Linked DNA regions of Mytilus edulis. Each later gene encodes a partner of the first gene's protein in a complex. Links are inferred from orthologs where the notes say so. Each region holds a gene or a part of one and is shown on either strand. Other genes may lie near its edges. The genes, in order: DNA polymerase delta subunit 2-like, DNA polymerase delta subunit 4-like and DNA polymerase zeta catalytic subunit-like.

Region 1 (7,042 bases):
CAAAAACTGCTCTTATCTTTTCAACAATGCACTTTTATTTAACATTTAAAATTGTTAAAACTGTTTTCAAAAATAAACTAAATAGTTAATTCACAATTCAATGATCCTGCTAGTTGCTAGTTGGCATCTTATTTTCCTACAACTATCTCAGAAAGTATTCACAAGCATTTAAATTTCTAAATACCTGTCACTGAAGTCTGTATATCTAGTTTTCCAATTAATAAAATTCTTTGTAACTCATCTTCAAGGATCAATTTATCATTACTATCTGTGTACTTAGACTTAATTGGTTGAGGCATCAAATTATGCTGAAAAAAATACATTCAATACAGTGTAACCTTTCTAATCTGACACCTGAGTATTGCAACATCCTGCTTTAACCGACACATTTTCATGGTCCCAAAATATGACTTACCTCGCAGAAAAAACCTAAGTATTCCAACACCCTACTTAATTTGATATTATTTTCTGGTCCCCCAGTGTCGGATTACACATGTTGCACTGTACTCATTTTTGTGTATTTTAAACCTGTAAGGGTATATCTTAAAATTCCATTGGACTAGTGATTGGAATACAAGTCTCAACATGACCCACTTCAATTTGACTGTGAGAAAACAAAGATATTAATTATAATGTATTCAATCTCAGCAAATGTGTATCAAAAATTAAAAAAAAAGCCTACTTGATGTACATAGTATTTCTGTCTTCATTTCTGCATACAATTCATTCTGCTGATGCAGATTTTGATGCTCAGTGATGAAATGTATGATATAATTACTGTGGCAATATGTAGCTTTTCAAAAAATGTATATAGTATCATTCGCCTAGTTATTCTTTAGTTATTCAAATTTTGCTGCATTTATGGGCAACAGTGAAATATTGTCTAACAACATGAAAAAGTAACCTTAATTTACAGTAACTAGAACTAAGAATGAACTCATAAAAGGATAACTGCACTGAAATACTTAAAATATATATTATCTCCCCTTTAGCTTGAAGCAGAGGGAATACATCATTTAATACACCGCTTTAAATATGAGCTTCAACTAACATCCATCAAGCCGTTTGACAGAAGTAGGCACATTTTTTAAGCTTGGTGGTAATCTGATGAGTCAAGCATTTTCCAACTGTTTGTTTGAAAGTAGTAATGTTTCACCTCTGTACCAAGTTGTGGGAGGTACAATGTATGACTGCTCACCATCACCTTTAACTCGCCATATTATTTAAGTGCATGTCCAAAATCAGGAATCTGTATTTCAGTGGTGGTCAATGATTGCTTTCTGCTATATTTTTCTCTCGTTTGTTTTAGCATAAACATGATAAATCAGACAGTTCATTTTCTCTTTTGTTGTCATGCTGGAGCCTTTTTAAGCTTACAACATAGAATATACATATGCTTTTCTCATAGTTGAAGGCTGTATGTGGACCTACACCAAAGAGGCAGTACTTTGTACTAAACCATACTTTTACTCTGCTTAACAAGAGTTTGGTACTGCCTAATTTAGAAATTAATTTTCATACAAGATATTCATAGAGAACATAGAAAATTTCTTGATAAAATCAGAAACGTACCAGTCCACTTAAACAATAATGAAACCCTCCGAGTCTGTACCTACATGTATATAAACAAATGTACAATATAGACAACAGTTTTGATCATCTTTCTAAAACACAAAACTTTATTCAACTAGCTACATTATATGCCATTACCAACGTTTATTCTCACGTTTAAGTTTTGAAAGTGAATTTGATGTACTTGAATTCAATCAAGTCAATTATACCTCTTCACTTAATTCTTTCAGGATACTAGGTCTAAGTTCCATGTGCTTAAATAGGGTACCAATTATAACACATTTCTCATCACTTTGCAACTCATGCAACTTCTTTATATTTACATCTTTTCCTACAAATAAAAATATAAAATACATGTGAATTCATATACAGTTATCCAATCTAGATTAACTTAAATGGTGAACAATTGTTTAAACTGATTCATGGATTTTTCAAGATTAAAAAAATATTGAACCAAGACTTTTAAAATTGGAATTAGAAATGTGCAACCCAGTCTGCACTGAGATGAGCAACATGATGGGTTCCACTTGTGGAGCAGGATCTGCTTACCTTTCTTTGGCACAGGAGACCTCCCCCCCCCCCCCCCCCCCCCTGTTGGTGAGGTTTATGTTGATCAGTCTATACATGTAGTTTAATAGTTCTGTTGTTTTGTATACTGATTTATGTCGCTTGTTAATTACTTGCCATTGCATTGTCCATTTGTTCTGCACTTATACAAGTTTGATTTATACCCAGGGTTCAATTATATATATGTGCTAAGCAAGTAAAATCTAAGATGGGCAAGTGAAACACATCATGGAGTTGTTCCCTGGGCAATATGAAATTTTGTTCTGGTGTATAACTAAGGTTAGACATTGATTTCTCAGAGGTGTTTAATTATTGGATAACTATTATCGTTTTCTTTATTTGTTTCATATGCATATGCCTGAAAAATCATACACATCGTTGTTTCCCCCACATAATTCTATGTCAATTCCCGTGTGTAAGTCAACATGCGACAATGTTTTATAATGATGAGCACCACCTGCACAGGGATTTCTGCTAGTATTGGCCATTGTTGGCGAAAGGGAGTAAATACAATGTACAAAGATCCAACCAGAATGGGTTTTGCAAACGACTTTTCTGTTGAAATATAAATTAAAGTAGAAAGAAAATATGTCAACTGGTTCAATTTCTACATCATGTACATGTACATTTGATTTTTTTTTCTTTTTTATTTAAAAAGGTTAACTTTGTTTAAAAAAAAATGGTGTTTGAAATCATTAAATTATCTGCCAGGAGAAATCAAGAATGCAGGATTTGGCTTCTGACAGTTACCCCTCAGCTTCCCCACTTGGCCCTAGACCCCCTGCAGTAATTACAACAAGCTTTGCGTGAATATACATATTAATTAATGTTGTGATGTTGCACGACCAAAAGCATACTTATGAAAGTGAAAAGCGTTTCAAAAATACAGAACAAAGCAAAAACAACAACTCAGAAGGAGAAAAAAAACAGGAAAAATGGTGGCTTCTCTGGCATGTTCAAGTTATTTTTTACCCCACTTTGATTTAGCAGCATCCACTACTTTGTCCCTCATACTCCACAACCGTTCAGCATATAGATGAGCATATTGTCTTGAAAAGTTTTTTGATTTCAATCGAAATCTTTCCGACAAATCTTCATATTTACAATCAGATCGAACATAATCTGCATCAGATGATTCTGTCGGTTCAGTCAGTAGTTTTCCAACATTTGTAGTGCCTTTTTCGGGATTAAGTAACATGTTTGTGTGCTTATAAGAATAACAACTCTAGAAACTGAAAACATTCCCGCCAGCGGAACTCTTTAACGTGAAGGTAAATTCTTTGCATGATTTGACAACTTACCCCAAAAATGAATCAAGCAAATCAAAGAATGCAACGTCCAAAAATGAGTCCGACTATATTCAAGATTATTATACACCTTCTAATAATTCCTGTTTGTTTACTAAGTAATTGATAATTATGAGGATTCATCATTATTAGGAATATATAGGAAATATTAACCATTTTGGCATATACAATGACCTACAATGTATATGCAAAGGACACAGTGAGAAGCCATCTCTTAAAACTGTTTTCTTGATAACTTTCATACTGTGTTACACTGTTTGTCATAATGTGCAGTTGCCCATATTATTACACCCAAGTTTTTGAATTTTTTGCATGTGTTATAGAAATTTCATGGAACAATTTTTGGCTGTACAAACTGTTTCCACTTATAAATTTTTCACCTCTATGCCTCTTCCCACTTATTCTCAGATCCGGACATCCTGGCATTTAAATTTTTCAAGGGGTGATGCAGATAGGATTTCTCTAGATTTTTCATCTATTTGAAGGTGATAACTGATTATTTATATTGCTTATTATTTTTTAACCAGAGGATATAGTATGATTAAAATCAAAATAGAGACATTATATAGTGTCTTTAACAATATTAAGTTGGTAAAAGTACTAGATTCAACTGGTGTCAATATATATCAATTAAATTAATTTGCATTGAAGTCTATGGAAAATCTAGAGGATTCTTATCCGCATCACCTCTCAACATTGTTTACATAACACAAATGCTAATCATTGATTGGTCAGTTACATGTTGTGATGTCAATGCAGATCTGAGAATGTCTATACATAATCACAAGTCAAATGCTTACATAGTTTTTTTTTCCCACTTTGTAACATGATCTTATATTGCTACATTTAACTCTTTTAACCTTTCTTATCAAATTATAATAAAATCCACTGAGACTAGAAACAAGAGATATGGAGTATACACAGGACACTTTTCTGAAACATATACTACATTTAACTTATTCAAATACTGAATAACATTTTCATTTTGTGTTTTATTATGAGGTTTCAGTTGCAGGATTTTTTTGTTGTGTTTAAAACCCATTTGTGGTTTTTGGCTGGTTTCTGCTCTATGGTCGGGTTTTTGCCTCTTTGAAAAAAATCCCCTTTTCCAATCTCAATTTTAATTTTTACAACATATGTGCTAGATATGCAAATAGCAGCATTTGAGCATATGTGAAAGTGGTTTAATCCCACTGTATATTGTAACAAGTCAGGCTATCTGAACCAGTTACACTATTATTTTTTTTTAGAGGAGTCAGATGTTTGTGTTTCGTGTGGTCTTTTGTTCTGCCTAATATTTTTGGTGATTCCTCGTAATCTTCTTATGTTTTATTTCATATTCAATATTTCTATGGCTTAAATAAATCAAAACAGAATACAAATTGTTTATGTTTTATTTTTGTGCCTTTATGCATGTCAAAATTTAAACAAATATATCAATACAAAGAAGATCAAAGAAGAAAGAGTAGATCAATTCTGTGTCAAAATAATAAATAAACTCATGATTTTGTTAACATCAAGTTAAACACATTCCTTATAAAATTACCATTAAAACTTACTTACAGCCAAACTGGAAAAAAAAATCTTTAAAGAGGAAACAAGAACAAAAAATATGTCCTTTCAATCAATTTTGTTTTTCATTGAGTTAAAGAAAGCAAAAATTATGTGTCCAAAGTAGAAAATAGAGATCCATCATCATATCAATCGAAAGTTACTTTTTGAAAGACAAGGAAATTCAAAATATTCAATGAGTTCTTTTTGAATCATGAAAAACTGTACCTGAGAATTACATTTTTTAGACTTATAATGCTATTTGCAGGTTTGTCAAAGATTACACAAGGAGGAAAAGCAATATGCTTATCTCACACATTTTTTAGTTTTGTTTAACCTCTTCAATCAATTTATAAAACTGTAATTCTGATAACATATAGAGACATATTTTCTGAATAAAAGAATCAAGAGAATCAACATTTTTATATTTACAGTAAATAATACCTTTTAAAGAAATGTACAACTATAAAGAATAAATAATGTCATTGCAAAGAAGTTGTTTAAAGAGAGAGAAAAAAACCCACATCTTTGATAATCTTAATACATTTGTCTCCGTACACACACACATTCACACCATTTATTTGTAAAGGAAGACCATTCAAAGTTAATATTTCCAGAGTTTTGTATAGAGACAATTTTTGTGTTACCAAGATTCTAAAATGTGCATCTACAATATACTGTAGATTCAATATTTCTTAAAAAAATATTTTGTCTACAGATGAATAGCTGACACAAATCGATATACTTATCAATCATAATATAACATCAAACCTATCCTATTTAATTTTTATATTAAATACATTTTGATAAAGTGATTTATAAGATAAGATAAAGGGATAAAGAAACATAATCTTTACTTGTTATGAAAAAAAATCAACAACACATTACACACTAGAGTAAAGGGAGGTTATTCAATGCTCAAGTTCTTTTTAAAAAAGTATTCATTTTACAGCTGATTGCAATGAGCGTGTAGATAAAGGTAATATCTTTGGTTAGCTAGCTTGCTAGCTGAACCATGAAGTCATTATTAGGTTAGGTATACTTCCCTCCTTTCAAAGTAGTCCTACAGACAGATAAATTGGTTATGTCGGCCTAGTCTACCTCTAAAGGAGGGTAGTTTACCTGACCTAATAATGACTTCATGGTTCAGCTAACAAGCTAGCTAACCAAAGATATTACCTTTACTGACACACTCAATGGAAAAAGGCTGTATTACTTTACTGATTGACTTATTTTGACTTCTTTATGACACCATAACTTTATGATCTGATAAATAGCAAATATTAAATATTACATCTTAATGACACTTTAGATTCTTTATGCAGTTTATACGATAGTGAAAACAATAATGCTGGCAGTTATTTTGTCTTCTATTAATAAAATATGAAAATAAAAAGAAGCAAGCAGTTACATCATTTCATTTAAATGTGACAAGCAAAAAACAAGAAAAAAAAACAAAGGCTAAAAAATAACAATTGAAGACAAACCAAGCCTAAATATCAACATATGTAATTAAACATTCAATGAATGTCCTTAACCATGACGATGAATACATGATAATGATATATAGGTATATACAAATAAATTATCAATGTACAATGTCTATTATAAATGTGATCGGATAAAAATTACTTATATATATATATATATATATATATATATATATATATATATGTTATATATATGTTATAAGATTCCAGACAATAAATTAAAATAAATCATCCTATTTTGTGATGTTTTCCCTCTTCTTAAACATAACTTTCGGTGAAAATATTGTTATTACTACAGATCTTCTTGTGTTGCTATTGATGTCATGATCAGTTGAAACCATAAATAATTTTAATTCTAAGAGATAAAAAAATTCTGACATTCTATCTATTTATGCGACTGAAATCCGAACATAAATTCTCAAGAAAAATTAATAACTAATATCCACAAACAAAAGGTCATTCATGATATATATTTTTAAAGTATTCTCATCATATTTTGCAGTAATACATTTGAAACCAGATTGTAAGTTGAAATCTGTTGGATTCCTTCCTTTC
Region 2 (7,042 bases), on another chromosome or scaffold:
ACAACTTCAAGTCACTGTACAGCATTGGAAAATAACTTAAAAGCTTCACTTACTGTTCTGTTATACCAAAAGAGGGATGAAAGATAGCAGAGAGACAGTCAAACTCATAAATAGAAAATAAACTGACAACCCCATTGCCAAAAATGAAAAAAGACAAACAGACAAACAATAGTACACATGACACAACATAGAAAACTAAAGAATAAACAACACGAACCCCACCAAACTAGGGGTGATCTCAGGCGTTCTGGAAGGGTAAGCAGATTTTGCTCCATATGTGGCACCTGTCGTGTTGCTTATGTGATAACAAATCCGGTAAATAGTCTTATTTGGTAGGTTACATTCAAGAAAGGAAAGGGGGTTGTAGTTACGACGTAAGGAACATATCCGATATCATTTGTGAAACAGTTATTCCATAACGGTCAAAGAAAAAATCTTGATCCAATTTAAAGAGAAACAAAGCTATATATCAGCTGTGTGGAGTATGATAAACATGTTAAACATTACTTGTAATTGATATCGAAGTTACTGAATGTCAAAACTAGAAACACCTGAAGATTAATAAATTTGGGGAAAACTGTTGCTTCTGGTAAACTATATCCCAAAGGAAAACGTCATTGAAACTATTTCCCTATGAACTTTCACTTCAAAGTAGAAGTTGAGGTAGCCTTATTTTAAATATTTCTAAAATAAAATTCGTCAATAAAAAAATATGATTTAATATGTGTATTTATTGCATAGCAATATCATATTTCCCACAGAAAGTAACCAAAAGTTAGCGTGCAATAAGTTCCAATATTGCACTAGTGCAATAAATCTTCAAAATTCATGACGTCATCAAGACAAAATCTTAGTTTAAACTAATTTTTACTTACAAATATTATATTGCTATTCAATAAAAGGATTATCGCATGAATATTGGGGAATATTGTCCCTCGTAGAACATATATTGCACTCGCAAGCTCGTGCAATATAAAATTTTACTCTATTCCCTAATATTCATGCAATAACCCTATAATATGAACTTTTTTGTCTCACAATATTATATATATCATGTATATATGAACTATTTTTCTGACAATATTATATATATCTCACCATTCTGTGTATTCTTCATCGTCTAAATGTTTATCTAGGATTTCCTTTACAATGACTGGAGGATTCAGGCCGTGTTTATCTGCTCTCTTCCATCTTTCCATTCTTGTTATTCCTAAAATGTACAATGTATGTAAAAGGTTAACTTTATTGACTTTATGTGGTATGTTGAACATTGGATGATGAAAGCTATATTAGAAGCATATTCTTTTTCATGAAATAGACTATGAGTGAAATTACCTAAAATAAATAAGATTGGAATTTTCCACGAGACACAGATGATGTATTTTACACTATAAAGGGTCATAACTCATTAACTGTAAAAGTGATTCTACCTAAATTCGTGCTTGGTCTGTGGTTTGTGGTAATAAGTATTGGGTATAAGGTTCATAACATTTGAATGAGACAAACTGAAGTTAGGGAATAGAAATGAAAAATTTGTTTTGGTAAAGGGGCACAACTCTAGAAAGGTAAAAGTGAACCCCACCCAAATTCAAACTTTATCTGTCCTTTTGTGGTAATAAGTATTGTGTATTAGTTTCATAACATTTGGTTGTGGCAAGCTAAAGATAGAGAACGGAACCAATTTCGGGATGTATGAAAGTAGGGACAGATGTACAGTTGGACAAGGGTAAAACTAAATACCCTCTCCACTTCAGGGGCAAACAAATATGAATTTGTTTAATGATGGAATATCATTCTATAAAACAATATATACCTGAACATGGACCAAATTCTAATGTGACATCAAAATGCCTCAGTATTTTCAATTCATCTTCTACATCTGTTTTACTTGTGCTTGGATGGCCATCTGGAATACAAAATAAAGATAATGCACATGTGAAAATAAATCAATGAAATTCATATCATTCAACAAAAACTTAATACCTGGACATTTTTGTAATTGTACATGTTCAACTTTTGCTGTTAATATTTTCATCTCAACTGGTCTTTTTGGAAAATTACACTTTATATACTTCTGTATTAATATGAGTTAGAATTTATGACTAAAATCAGCATAGACCATCGAAAGAACATCTGATTCAAAAATTTAATAACACTTTTAGTCCTTTGGGTGATATTGGATCTCAACAATGATTTCAGTATGTACACTAAAGAGATTTATCCTGCCTACCTGACCTTAAATAAAGCTAATACCATGGAAGTATTATATTGACAGTAACTCCAACGAAAAATTAGCACATTCCCATCCCACTGATTTCTTTAAGAAAATAAAAGGTTCCGACTCAGTTTGACAAGTTCGTGATAACTCCTTTGTGGGGTATCTGTGATGCCACCTTCGCCTGTTCTTTTAACTGAAGCTGGTCTTATCACTTGATTTAATATTGATTGTCTTATCTACCTACCAATGTAAATAAACACGGAAACTCCCGTGGTTATTTGTTAATTGCCACATAAACAACAACACCTGTTTCCGTTCAATAAATGAAGAACAACGCTGAAAAGATCGAAAAAATTGGTCCATATTTAACAGAATGACATAATAAAATTAACTGCATTCGGAAAAAGGGCAAGCTTATTTTTAGTTTTGTTGAGTATGTTTTAATCATTGGAACTTGGAAAACAGGAAATATCCGATTATGAAAATTACATGATTCTGAAGTAAGAGTGGTAACAGAAAATAATGTGATGCGCTTGTAGTGTGCCAGATGGTGCCAGATAACTCAAATTTTAGTTTAAAGATTGTAAAATTTTATCGAGTGTTACACAAATATTTATGGTTTTCTCTATCGTAAAATGTTATTAACTTATTTATCAAATATGTTTTAAAGACTAAAAGAGGTTAATAATTACACACATGTGATGACCTCTACATAGCAATATCAGGTTACGAGACATGCAGATGAATTGTTACACCTTTTATGATAATTCCAAAGTTGTAAACAACCTTAAATATTCAACCTAGTCCGAGATTACTCGATCTGACGTCTGACAGATTTATTTTTAAGGATGGCTTTTAATATTTCTGGATGCATTTAAAGAACGATCACCATGATGGGCCCTATGCAGTTTAATTTTTTTTTATCATGGAAACCAAATTAGAATTTATTTATGTGTTTAAAAGCTTAACAGTTCTGAACTGTGACATCTTACACTGTATGCTAAGCAATTTATGTTTCTGTTTCTTGTTTAATTGCATGAAATATTTGCCATTGGACTTTTAGTAAACAATAAATCAAAATATTTGATATTTTCTTCGGATCAAAGCTTTTTAACCCCGTCCCCCCGGCCAACTTTTGGATTAAATTTTTGTTTGAAATTCTTTCATTAAACACTTTATTAAAATATTTGTCAAAGTTAGCAGTAAAACGCGATAATAATTACTGATAAAAACTTTTCCTTTTACTTTACATGAGAATTTTATGATTTTCAAGCCTACCATGTATATAACAGTTACGCATGTTTAGTCAATGGCTCTCTCATGAATAAAAATCTTACTATTTTAAAATTGATTGCAACTTAAACTGAAATGTTTATGGCTTGTGAGTATTTTTACTCTTCAGTTTTTTTTTTTTTTTTTTTTTTTTTGGTGAAAACAGTCGCGGGATTTCGTTTATTTTCTTTTTATTTGTTTTTAAGCAGCAAATCCTGTAAAAACTAACATATTTGTCATTCACATGGTCGGTAAATGTCATTTCCTTGAATTAAGTACACATCTGGTTATTTCGGTATGTTCTGTAATTACAATCATTCACAAGGTTCCAAAAAATTGATCGGAACCCATGCATCCATAAGACATGTCAAGTTCATTATAACAGATACTTAACGATTTTGCGGCATCGCACTATAAACGTTTGAAGTCCGCTTGTTAGAGTTCCTGTCAATATAATACTTCCATGCTAATACTAACAATGAACACTGCCCTTTCCTGGATCTTGATATCTATATCCTTAATGGGAAGCTAAATACCAGTATTTATGATAAAAGAGGTGACTTTTCATTTCCTAATGTTAGTTATTCATTTTTAGAATTGTCACCATCTTTTGGTGTTTATATATCTCAACTTGTTAGATTGTGTATGTAACAATATATATGTACAATTTGGAAATTAGTATGGCGTTCATTATCACTGGACTAGTATACATGTATATTTGTTTAGGGGCCAGCTGAAGGACGCCTCCGGGTGCGGGAATTTCTCGCTACATTGAAGACCTGTTGGTGACCCTCTGCTGTTGTTTTTTATTTGGTCGGGTTGTTGTCTCTTTGACACATTCCCCATTTCCATTCTCAATTTTAATTATATGGTTAATTACATGTGTACATATACACTATTACCAGCTTACCCATTTACCCAAGAATCTGTCCTGCTTGAATTATTGACATCATACAACAACCACTTTTCTATTGTGGTGTCAGATATTTTGTATTTTCATGTCAACATTTTACAGGAACTTGTGTGATGTCCAGTAATGGCGGACACATAGCGATAAGGTGTATTACAATAAATGAGTTAAAATTACCAATTTCTAAGTTGGATTACATTTCTGAATCCCTTTTGGGATCCCCTGAGTCAGTAGCCATTTTCTGATTTGGTCACTCTCAAAGTGGTTAAATCAAAAAATTGCTCTGCAGTCAGAATCCCTAAAGGGGTCTATCATTTTTTATATGCTTCTAGTTTTTATAATTATCAATATATTTTACGTATATATATAAATTCAGCTTTTAAAATACCATTTGTTGGTTCCTTTTTATCTTTTCCTTTAGGAGTCTTGACAGACTTGAAAGAATTGGTAATGAAAGAACGTGTTGCCATTTTCATTGTTCTGCTTCTTAGGTTATGTTTACAGGTTATAACTTGACACTTTAATTTGCAAACTCAGCTTCCTTCAAAAGCGAAAGTAGGTAATGTTTATCTCGGTTTATCTAATGCTCCAAATATTAGACGAAACGAAATTGGTGAAATCTCTATTTTTAAGATAAAAGAAAATTTTAACTTTTTTTTTAAAATTTTACATGTTAACATATTATATATGAGAAGAATTGAATTATGTTTATCATGAATAGGATATAATTTTTATAAAATTGTGTTTAATAATTTCAAAAATTCGATTTTTATTTTAAAATCTTTAAAATTGAAACGATCGTAAATCTTCGGCGATATCCACACAAAATATGAAAAAGTAAGAGGAATATCGAAAAATATTTTCCAACTCATCAGCATGGCGGATTCTGCAGAAAACTCAGTACCGGCGTTAGCAGTTACTGCTGCAGTTGGAGCTGTAGTCCTATTATTCGTTCTTTTATGCAGTGTCGGAAGACGTGCAGACAAAAAGGATGAAGATGGTATTATTTTATTTTTGGGCTTAAGTGATAAAATTGAGAATACAAAAAAATATGGAATTTTACCATTAAAGCTTTAGCTTTATACTCATTGAGAAGAAATTTGAACTGTTCAAGTGCATTATTCTTACTTAAAAACTATTATTCATGCACAGTTGTAAATGCTCTTTTGTTCCGACGTTGGAAAGAACTAGCCGAAAAGTTCCGAAGGAACTTATTAATTAGTTACTTTGTTCTTCCTCTGGTTTAAAAGTTCTCCCGGAACAAAGTGACTAGTTGAAACCAACGGAACATATCAAGCAGTTAGCATGGTTAGAAAGTTCCTTTTTGCCAAATTAGTCAAAACCGGAACTAACAAACTAGCCCAAAAGTTCCAGCGGAACTTATCAACCAGTCACAAAGTTCCATTTGGAGAATTGGTGTAAAGTAAAAGCGCAAGATATTATATTTGAACCTTTCAAAGTGGAACCAAGATACTGATTACAAAAGTCAAAAGGAACTTATCAACTAGTCGCAAAGTTCCTCTTTGGCAAATCAGTCACAACCGGAACTAACAAACTGGCCCAAAAGTTCCTCCTCATATGGGTACTTTTAAAAATATCAATTTCAGATTAATGTATGAAAATAAATTAGAACTTATTCCGTTATGAAGGCAACATTCTGACCGAAGGAGCTAGTTGTTCTGTTCCACCAGAACTATTCAACTAGCTACATTGTTCCGAGACTTTTCAAATAGCTACTTTTTTCCGGAACTTTTCAACTGCACTCGGAATAAAGTAACTAGTTGAAAAGTTCAACCGGAACAGAGTAACTGACGGAACATAGTGGCTGTTACACAGTCACTGTGCAAGATTAGGGCAAATTATTAAAATTATGTTGACAGATACTTTTTTTAAAGTTCATCATAACAAACGCACAAATATGGCTGTATAAACGTGCCAAAAAATTACTCTGAGTACAGACTTACTTGTGAAGTTGGAAAAGTTTTAATGCCTAGCATCCACTAGATATATAAAATTTAAATGCATTTTGTGTTTCAGCATGTTCAGAAAGATAAAATTTCTTTTGGATTTTGACGGGCATTTTATTCCCCTCGTGCATATGGTGTGAAAATTAACTAAGTTGTGGTACAACTTTGAGATGCTCCCTCAGGTAAAAAATGGGTTTGTATTGTTTTGATTGTCCTTACTTGACATGGACAAGAGGTATCTTCACAACTACAGGTGAGTAAAAAAAGAGTTTATCTGAGTCAGTGAGTGGACAGTATCAAAGTAATTCAGGTGTTTGTTTATTTTTACACCTTCTGCAGAAAGGAAAAAAATGCCCATCAAAAACCAAGAAAGATTTTATCTTTCTTAAATATAAAATGCATTTTACTTTTATATATCTAGTGGATGCTAGGCCTTAAAACTTTCCAATCAGCACAAGTAAGTCTGTACACAGAGTAGTTTTTGAGGTGAAAATACAGCCATATTTGTCCATTTGGTATGATGAACCTTAACTTTGGTCACTGTCATGATGGTATCGACTATCGGGTCTGTTCGCCCTGATTACACTTTCGCCCTGGGTCCATTCGAACAGGTACTAGGGCGAACACGAATCAGGGTGAACCAACCTGGATTCCTGTCAAGACTAGGTGACTTGA
Region 3 (7,042 bases), on another chromosome or scaffold:
GAATATCGTATCAATTGGGAGATATATACACCGTATGCAGGTGCTGCTGGAATGTTGCTACTTACAAATGGAAAGTTCACAATTGGAAAGCTGAAATCATCTCTTTTGTCGTAAAGTTTTGTTTTCAATCGACCCTCATTGTCAATTTCTAGATGTAAGTCAAGATATGAGGCCAACTTAACTGTATCTGTTGTATCCTTTATCTCTAGTTCAATGGGATAGATGCGTTCGACATAGTCACCAAATTTTGAATTATTTAGTGAAAGAACATCACCTATATAGCGGAAAGTAGAGTTAAAGGATACTGCTTACTTCTTGTCTTTCTTCCTAAGAAGTTCCTGTATGAAGTCCGCCTCATAATAATAAAGAAACAAATCGGCAAGAAGAGGGGCACAATTCGTTCCCATTGGAATGCCGATAGTCTGTTGAAAAACACGTCCTCCGAACGTAACAAATATGTTGTCAATCAAGAAATCAAGCATCTTGATAATGTTAGTTTCGGAGAATTTTTAGTTTGAATCAGAGTGATCCTTTACAAAGTAAGATTTATCCCTTCCTAAGACAAGAAACTTGTATATTCGTTGGTCATTCTTTTTGATGAAACAAAGCAATACCAACTCTTTCAATTTGTATTTTAGTTTGGAATGTGGAATACTTATATAAAGTGTAGAAAAGTCAAATGTTTTAATACTATTATAAGATGAAAGAGAGTTAGATTGTATGTACTCTAAAATATCTTTGGAATTTTTAAGTATCCACATCTGATTCACGCCACCTCTAGAATAGGCAGTTTCACAATAACTTTGATTGCCGAGTGATAAAATAGATGTTAATAATTTAGAAAGAGGTTTCGTGGAGCACTTGGAAGACCCAATATACCGTTGTTTGTAAGGACACTTATGCAGTTTAGGTATCCAATACAGTGATGGAAGATCCAGTTCATCATCTTTGGTTGAAATTTCAAAGGAACATAGAACAGACCTATGATTATCCAGGAATTCCTCCTTTGGTAAGTGTCGTGAGGGTATATGTTGGGTTTCCAAGTGAATTGTCAATACCTAATTCGTTTATCAAGCAGTTGTAGCAGACAGAGTTATTAGTTAATTTTTAGCTCCCTTTGGTAAAACTCTAAATTTCATATTTGATGTATTTCATTGTTAATTAATTTACATGAAGCTTATTAAGGATATATTTGTTAAATTAAATAGCTTTTTCTATTTTAATTCATTGGTTAAAGATATTTATTTATATTATAAAGTTTAATATTTGCATCGTTGCAAATTCTTTGGTTACCTTCTGTAAGAAATTTATATATTTTATATAAAAAGTTTTAGATTCTTCATTTGAACTCTGGGATGATTGACATTTAGTTGAACCATGGACATTCCAACCAAGATTCATGAGGATAGTGCATTTGCTACATGCCTATAGTACGGGTTAATTTGAAGTGTTTAATGCTCCATTTCTACACGTTTGGCTTTACATAATAAAAGTTGTACTTTGTTGAATAAATTATATATTGTTTTCAGTTTTTGGTTTTCATTTACTTAGATATATTATAGCGCATCACTTTTGGCATCAGTCGTTTTCCGCACACATCAGTTTACAAACTAGAATTAGCTGTGGTCCGCATACCCGAATCTTAGGCAAAATTGTTCCTGCTACACAGTTAATGTACAATGTAATGAGTTTTACACACAAAAACGATGTTGTTTGGGGCTTTATCTGCGGGGACAACAACATATTTGTCGTGAAGGTGTTAAGTGTTTTGCAACATTAGGGTCTCTAAAGATTGACGTAGCATGGGCATTGATTGAACCATTCAGTTTCTTAATTCTGATTTGTATCAACGACCTCACTGCCTTAATCCATTCGGAAAGAGTGTCTACGTCTTCCTTCTCACGCTTATCCCATTGCCTGGCATAGTTCTCGACTGAATCCATCAAAATTTTAAAATTGTATTTCCAATTGATGGATTTCGACTCACGATATTTTGGACCTTTCGTTAACACATTTTGTAGGGAAGTGTTATTAACAATGTTAAAACATGCATAACACAGCTCACATTCTCATATATCTACATTCATAAATTTATAAATGTCATTTCGACTAAACGACGCCATGTAATTGTTTGTTTTGTGCCTCTCCCGTCTAAACCACCTATTTAAAAAGAAGAGGTGGAAATAGAACCAGAAGATCTTCCCAATGAAAAAAAAAACAAAAAAAGAATGTCTTCTGGTTCATTACTGAAGAACAAAAGAACACGCCCCTGTTAATTGTAAATGGGAACGTCTAAACACCGCTCAGGCCGACCTCCTGGGTGCACCCAGGACCCTGTATAGTCATCGTATCTGCACACAGGATGGATGTATATATATTCGTTATACGCTTCTTATTTTCGAGTTAATTTTTGGTAGAATTTGAAATCGAACTTAGATAGAAATAATGAGGACACATGTCACTGATTACACAACCATTGACAACTACTGATCACTACTGAGCCGGGTTTCATACCGAAGTCCGGGTCCGGAGTCCGGTCCGGTCCGGTCCGGGTTTCAGTACGTACCACAAGTTTTCACATTGACACGGATAGACACGAGATGGCGCTGCATATAACAATCACAATCAGCATTCGATGGTCAGTAATCTCATAAATTAAACAACACACAAATCATTTCCAGAAGCATGCATCATTTTTCATACTATTGTTTATTTATTTGAATAGAATGCAGACCGTCACACCAAGACATATGCACGGTACTGTTAATCCGTGACATATGTACTTATGCCTGCTTTGTGGATTTTTCAGAAAGCTTTGACACTGGTATCAAGTTTATAAATTTACCATCTGCGGGAGTAGGTACTTCATTATAAAAATAACACATAGCTGAGGGGGGTGATAGAGCTGATTGGTAGCCCGAGAGGTACCTCGAGAAAGCATTGTCAACCGTGGCAAAGCCAATGTTGACTGCTTTTTCGAAGGGTACCAAACTGCTCTATCACCACAGGAATCAGAAGTTCTATCAATAAAATTCTGTAAATAATAGGAGAAGCTCTATTTATAGTCGACTTTACAGAATTTAATTGATAGAACTACGAGAAGCTCTATTGATAGTCGATTTTATTATTTAAAGAATTTTATTGATAGAACTTCCGATTCCTGAATCCTGTGCTATCACACTCTCAGCTCTGTGTTTATTTACATGTAATTTATTATACTGAATGTCCTATCATTATTGTCTTTTACAGATGAACTTTTTAAAAGTATTTTCTATGACATGACACATAACAACTTACACGTATTAGAAGTGAAGCAAGATGTTTTATTTTTTTATTTTGACAGTCAAATGATGCAGCTTAACGCTATTCCCGGGTGACCCTAGAATCTGTCCTACTTGAAGTATTGACATCACAAAACAATAACTTTTCCATTGTGGCATCATTTGTTTTGTATTATGACGTCACATTTTTACGGGAACCTTTGAGATATCCAGTAATGGCTGAGAAATAGCAATAAGGTGTATAGAATCTGAGCCAAAACGTAGAAATTACTCATTGTCTTTAATAACTTGATGTAAATTCAATTCATTCTTCTTTAAAATGTAAATTTTTGATTGGTCTGGATGAGAGGGTGACATTAAAAAATATTGTCACCAGCTCAGTCATATACTTGATAGAGTAATTTAACACCCTCGTATTAGCCAATCAAAATATGGCATTAAAGTGAGGTATAATAATTTATAATTATTAAACACATGTATATTTTGTATCAATCAAGTAAATCTTGTGTTAAGAATTAATCCAGACAAGAGTTAAATGTAAACAAGGGGACAATTTAGTCTAATCTGTAATATTCAAGTAAATTATGTTCATTGGGATTGCCAACCTTGGAAAGAATATAGTAGGGATAGAAATGATATGATACAAGTGTTGCATGGTAACTGGATGATTTGAAGTCTGCGTTAAATGTTGACAATTGGAACCCGAATAAATGTTTATGTTAATGTCAACTGCACACACCTAAATAAGTTTTTTTTATAAGTATAATATATATAAATATATTATTATGAGACTATTATGCCATAAGAAATTGCATTACGACAATCCAAGAAGAGGGGTTAGTAGAAGCCATTGGCTTATTTAAGTAAACGGAGATCCCGAGATAAAGATATAATATATATAAAGTATAAATGACTTGCCAGAGTATTTACAAAAAAGTGGAGACCCTGTGAATTGCTTATTATACACAGACGATTTTGTCCTTAAGGTTCATGTAGGGTATAAACTTTTTTTTTTTTAACAAAGGATTTCTCTACTTTTTTCTAAAAATAAACTTAATCCTATACTTAATAGAAAAGTACAATAAAAATGTGGGGTTACGTTTAATCATGTAAGCCCACAATCTGCCTTCAAAAGAAGTATGCAGTTTTGTCAAGGTACTTTTTTTCTGTTGAACTAATTGGAGCAGAAAACATGGATAAGGTAAAAAAGATCTATATTACAAAAATTGCTAAAATTTTACAATTATAATTTAGTTTTAGTACAGCTTATATGAAGAAAAAAAAAAATAGGTCACCATTGAGTTGAGAAAGATTTTCAATATTAATGCAAAAAAAGGCATTATTTCACCAAAGGGAGATAATTTGGAGCTTTTTCAATGATATAAACATTTTAAAAATCATCTGGGGCCAAAATGAATTGATTTTTTTGGTTGATTTAAATGATTTTTGTACCATATCATAATATAAATTTACAACTAATACTGTAATAAGTTAAATTTGAAATAAAAAAAATATGTTTAAATTTTTGCTGAATTTTTGTACCCTGGAGCCTCTGTAAAAAGTAAAATCACAAAAGTGATCTTAGGAAAATTCTAAAAGGAAATTCAGTAATTAAATGGCAATATCAATAGCTCAAACACATAAAACGAATGGATAGCAACTGTCATATTCCTGACTTGGTAGACATTTATTACACAAAAAATAAAATATCTCTGTTCATTCAAGTAGGAAATGATCATAATTTATAAAGTTGTTACTCCCAATCACCATCAATTACCAAAGACTTTTAATTGATGTGCACTTTGTTGTGTGATGCAATCAATTATTTTGATTTTTTATATTTTTTTATTTAAAGTCTTCATTTGAATGACTTTTTAGATCTGTTTGGAATGTTAAAGGTGTGATGTTTTCACTGAGAATAGTTGCTACTGACCATTATTTGTGTCCTCCTATCCCAGAATTGGATGTTCGATACTCTGATTTGACACAGTCAGAGATATGGAGAGTCCCTGTAATTAGGGTATATGGATCAACTCCAAATGGTATGTATGTCAAGTAAATGTATCAGAAGAATCCTACATGTACATGCCTTAGTCACCCTATCTTTGGTTGACAATCTTGATACATTGTACTGGTAATAAATAAATAGTTGAAAACTATAAATTTTATTTAAACTTCTTACTAGAAAAATACTTTTTTAAGGTAAATTACAAATTCATATAAACCTTTATGCAACTTTACTTATACCAATTCTGTTCTGTTCTGAACTTCTGGTATATACCTCCGTTTTCTCAGATCACTCCACTTATCAGATGAGCATTTTTTAATTACTTAACTTAAAAAGAGGATATCTTTTATATACAATGTATTTACAATATGATAAAATATAATTTGAAAACGAAATAAGTTAGTTAAGTTGCATTAAATAAGGGTTTAAAATGTCTTTGGTGCGTTAAGGTTCTAGTCGATAAGTGCTCTGCCAAGGCTAATGTTAAAAATATATAACAGTATCTTGTATGCTAATATTTTTAGACTGAACCAGTTAGCTTGGCATTTACCCAGAGGTCAAATTATAATTTTACATATTGGTGTTACACTTTTATTGTCAAGGCTTAACTTCATTTAAAAGAAAGGAGGAATGTTTGCTTTAGCACTGTCAAACATTTTATAATTATAAATCAGATTTAAATATGATCTGACTTTTATTGATAGGTCAGAAAACATGCATGCATGTTCATGGAGTGTTTCCTTATTTGTATGTGCCATATGATGGAACCCAACCATGGGACCGTTATCTGAAGTTATTTGCTAGAAGTTTGGACAAAGCTTTGAATGTTAGTTTGAATAAAGTCAACTCTAATACACAGCATGTTTATAAAATCAACCTTGTGTCAGGGATGTAAGTATGCAAATGTATGAATTAGAAAATGTGTATTTAAACAATTGTATTATTGCATCTTTTGACTTTGTATTGTTTGTGTACGCTCAAAAACTTGTGATATTTTTATGCCCCACCTATGATAGTTTATAACTTTAGGTTGCCTCAACCAAATGTTATGAAACTTATACATACTGCTTATTACCACAAAACACAGATCAAGTATGAATTTTGGTGGCGTCTCTTTTACAGTGCTAGAGGTTGCATTTCTGTAAATATTGACAATGCAATTTCCCATAGGAACTCCTTTTACGGCTAAAACTGTACCACTTTTACTATGAAGTTTTGAAAAAAATCTTATCCTAGAATTGAAAGTTCATATGCACCACAATTTTTTTCAAAGGTCAAAATATAGGGCTGTGCGGCATATTTTCAACGTTTATATGCCCTGAACTTCTCAGAGTTTAAACTTACACTAATTTTCTTAACTACCCCTACCTCGAATGAAAGGTTACCACAGATTTCAATGTAAACAATATGCACGTGTTTATTTACTGGTAACATTCCCAAGTTCTGTCTCTGCGATATGGAACACAGAGAGCATAACTGGGAACCAGTATGTAAACAAAATCAATTTTCTATGAATATTCAATTACTCCCCAAAAGAGGCGTGTTTTGAGAAACAGCTGTATTTACAAAGTGCAACCTAGAGTTATACCCCTTTACAAAATTCAAAATTGCTGAATTTTTCGTTTCCTTTCTCAAACTTAAGTTTGTCTGAACTAAATGTTATGAAATGTATGTATATAATGCTTTTTACAACAAAACAAAGTTTTAAGTACAAACTTAGGTAGTGTCACTTTTACAGTCCCTGAGTTATGTC

Evidence for each region.
Region 2: DNA polymerase delta subunit 2-like (region 1) and DNA polymerase delta subunit 4-like share a complex: the UniProt entries of both Homo sapiens proteins name them as parts of the tetrameric DNA polymerase delta complex. The link is inferred for Mytilus edulis from reciprocal best matches to the Homo sapiens genes POLD2 and POLD4.
Region 3: DNA polymerase delta subunit 2-like (region 1) and DNA polymerase zeta catalytic subunit-like share a complex: the UniProt entries of both Homo sapiens proteins name them as parts of the tetrameric Pol-zeta complex. The link is inferred for Mytilus edulis from reciprocal best matches to the Homo sapiens genes POLD2 and REV3L.

The regions. Positions count from the first base shown.
Region 1 is NC_092352.1:36,394,485-36,401,526, reverse strand, and holds the start of DNA polymerase delta subunit 2-like, read right to left. Parts: upstream 3,415-7,042; 5' UTR 3,338-3,414; coding exon 3,112-3,337; intron 1,904-3,111; coding exon 1,782-1,903; intron 309-1,781; coding exon 185-308; intron 1-184. UniProt on the Homo sapiens protein: Accessory component of both the DNA polymerase delta complex and the DNA polymerase zeta complex.
Region 2 is NC_092349.1:58,947,312-58,954,353, forward strand, and holds the start of DNA polymerase delta subunit 4-like, read right to left. Parts: upstream 4,983-7,042; 5' UTR 4,877-4,982; coding exon 4,789-4,876; intron 1,907-4,788; coding exon 1,814-1,906; intron 1,211-1,813; coding exon 1,099-1,210; intron 1-1,098. Other genes in the region: transducin beta-like protein 2, read left to right, coding at 5,277-5,400. UniProt on the Homo sapiens protein: As a component of the tetrameric DNA polymerase delta complex (Pol-delta4), plays a role in high fidelity genome replication and repair.
Region 3 is NC_092353.1:64,604,749-64,611,790, reverse strand, and holds the start of DNA polymerase zeta catalytic subunit-like, read left to right. Parts: upstream 1-2,531; 5' UTR 2,532-2,638; intron 2,639-5,136; exon of another isoform or gene 5,137-5,159; 5' UTR 5,160-5,184; coding exon 5,185-5,323; intron 5,324-5,993; coding exon 5,994-6,180; intron 6,181-7,042. UniProt on the Homo sapiens protein: Catalytic subunit of the DNA polymerase zeta complex, an error-prone polymerase specialized in translesion DNA synthesis (TLS). Lacks an intrinsic 3'-5' exonuclease activity and thus has no proofreading function.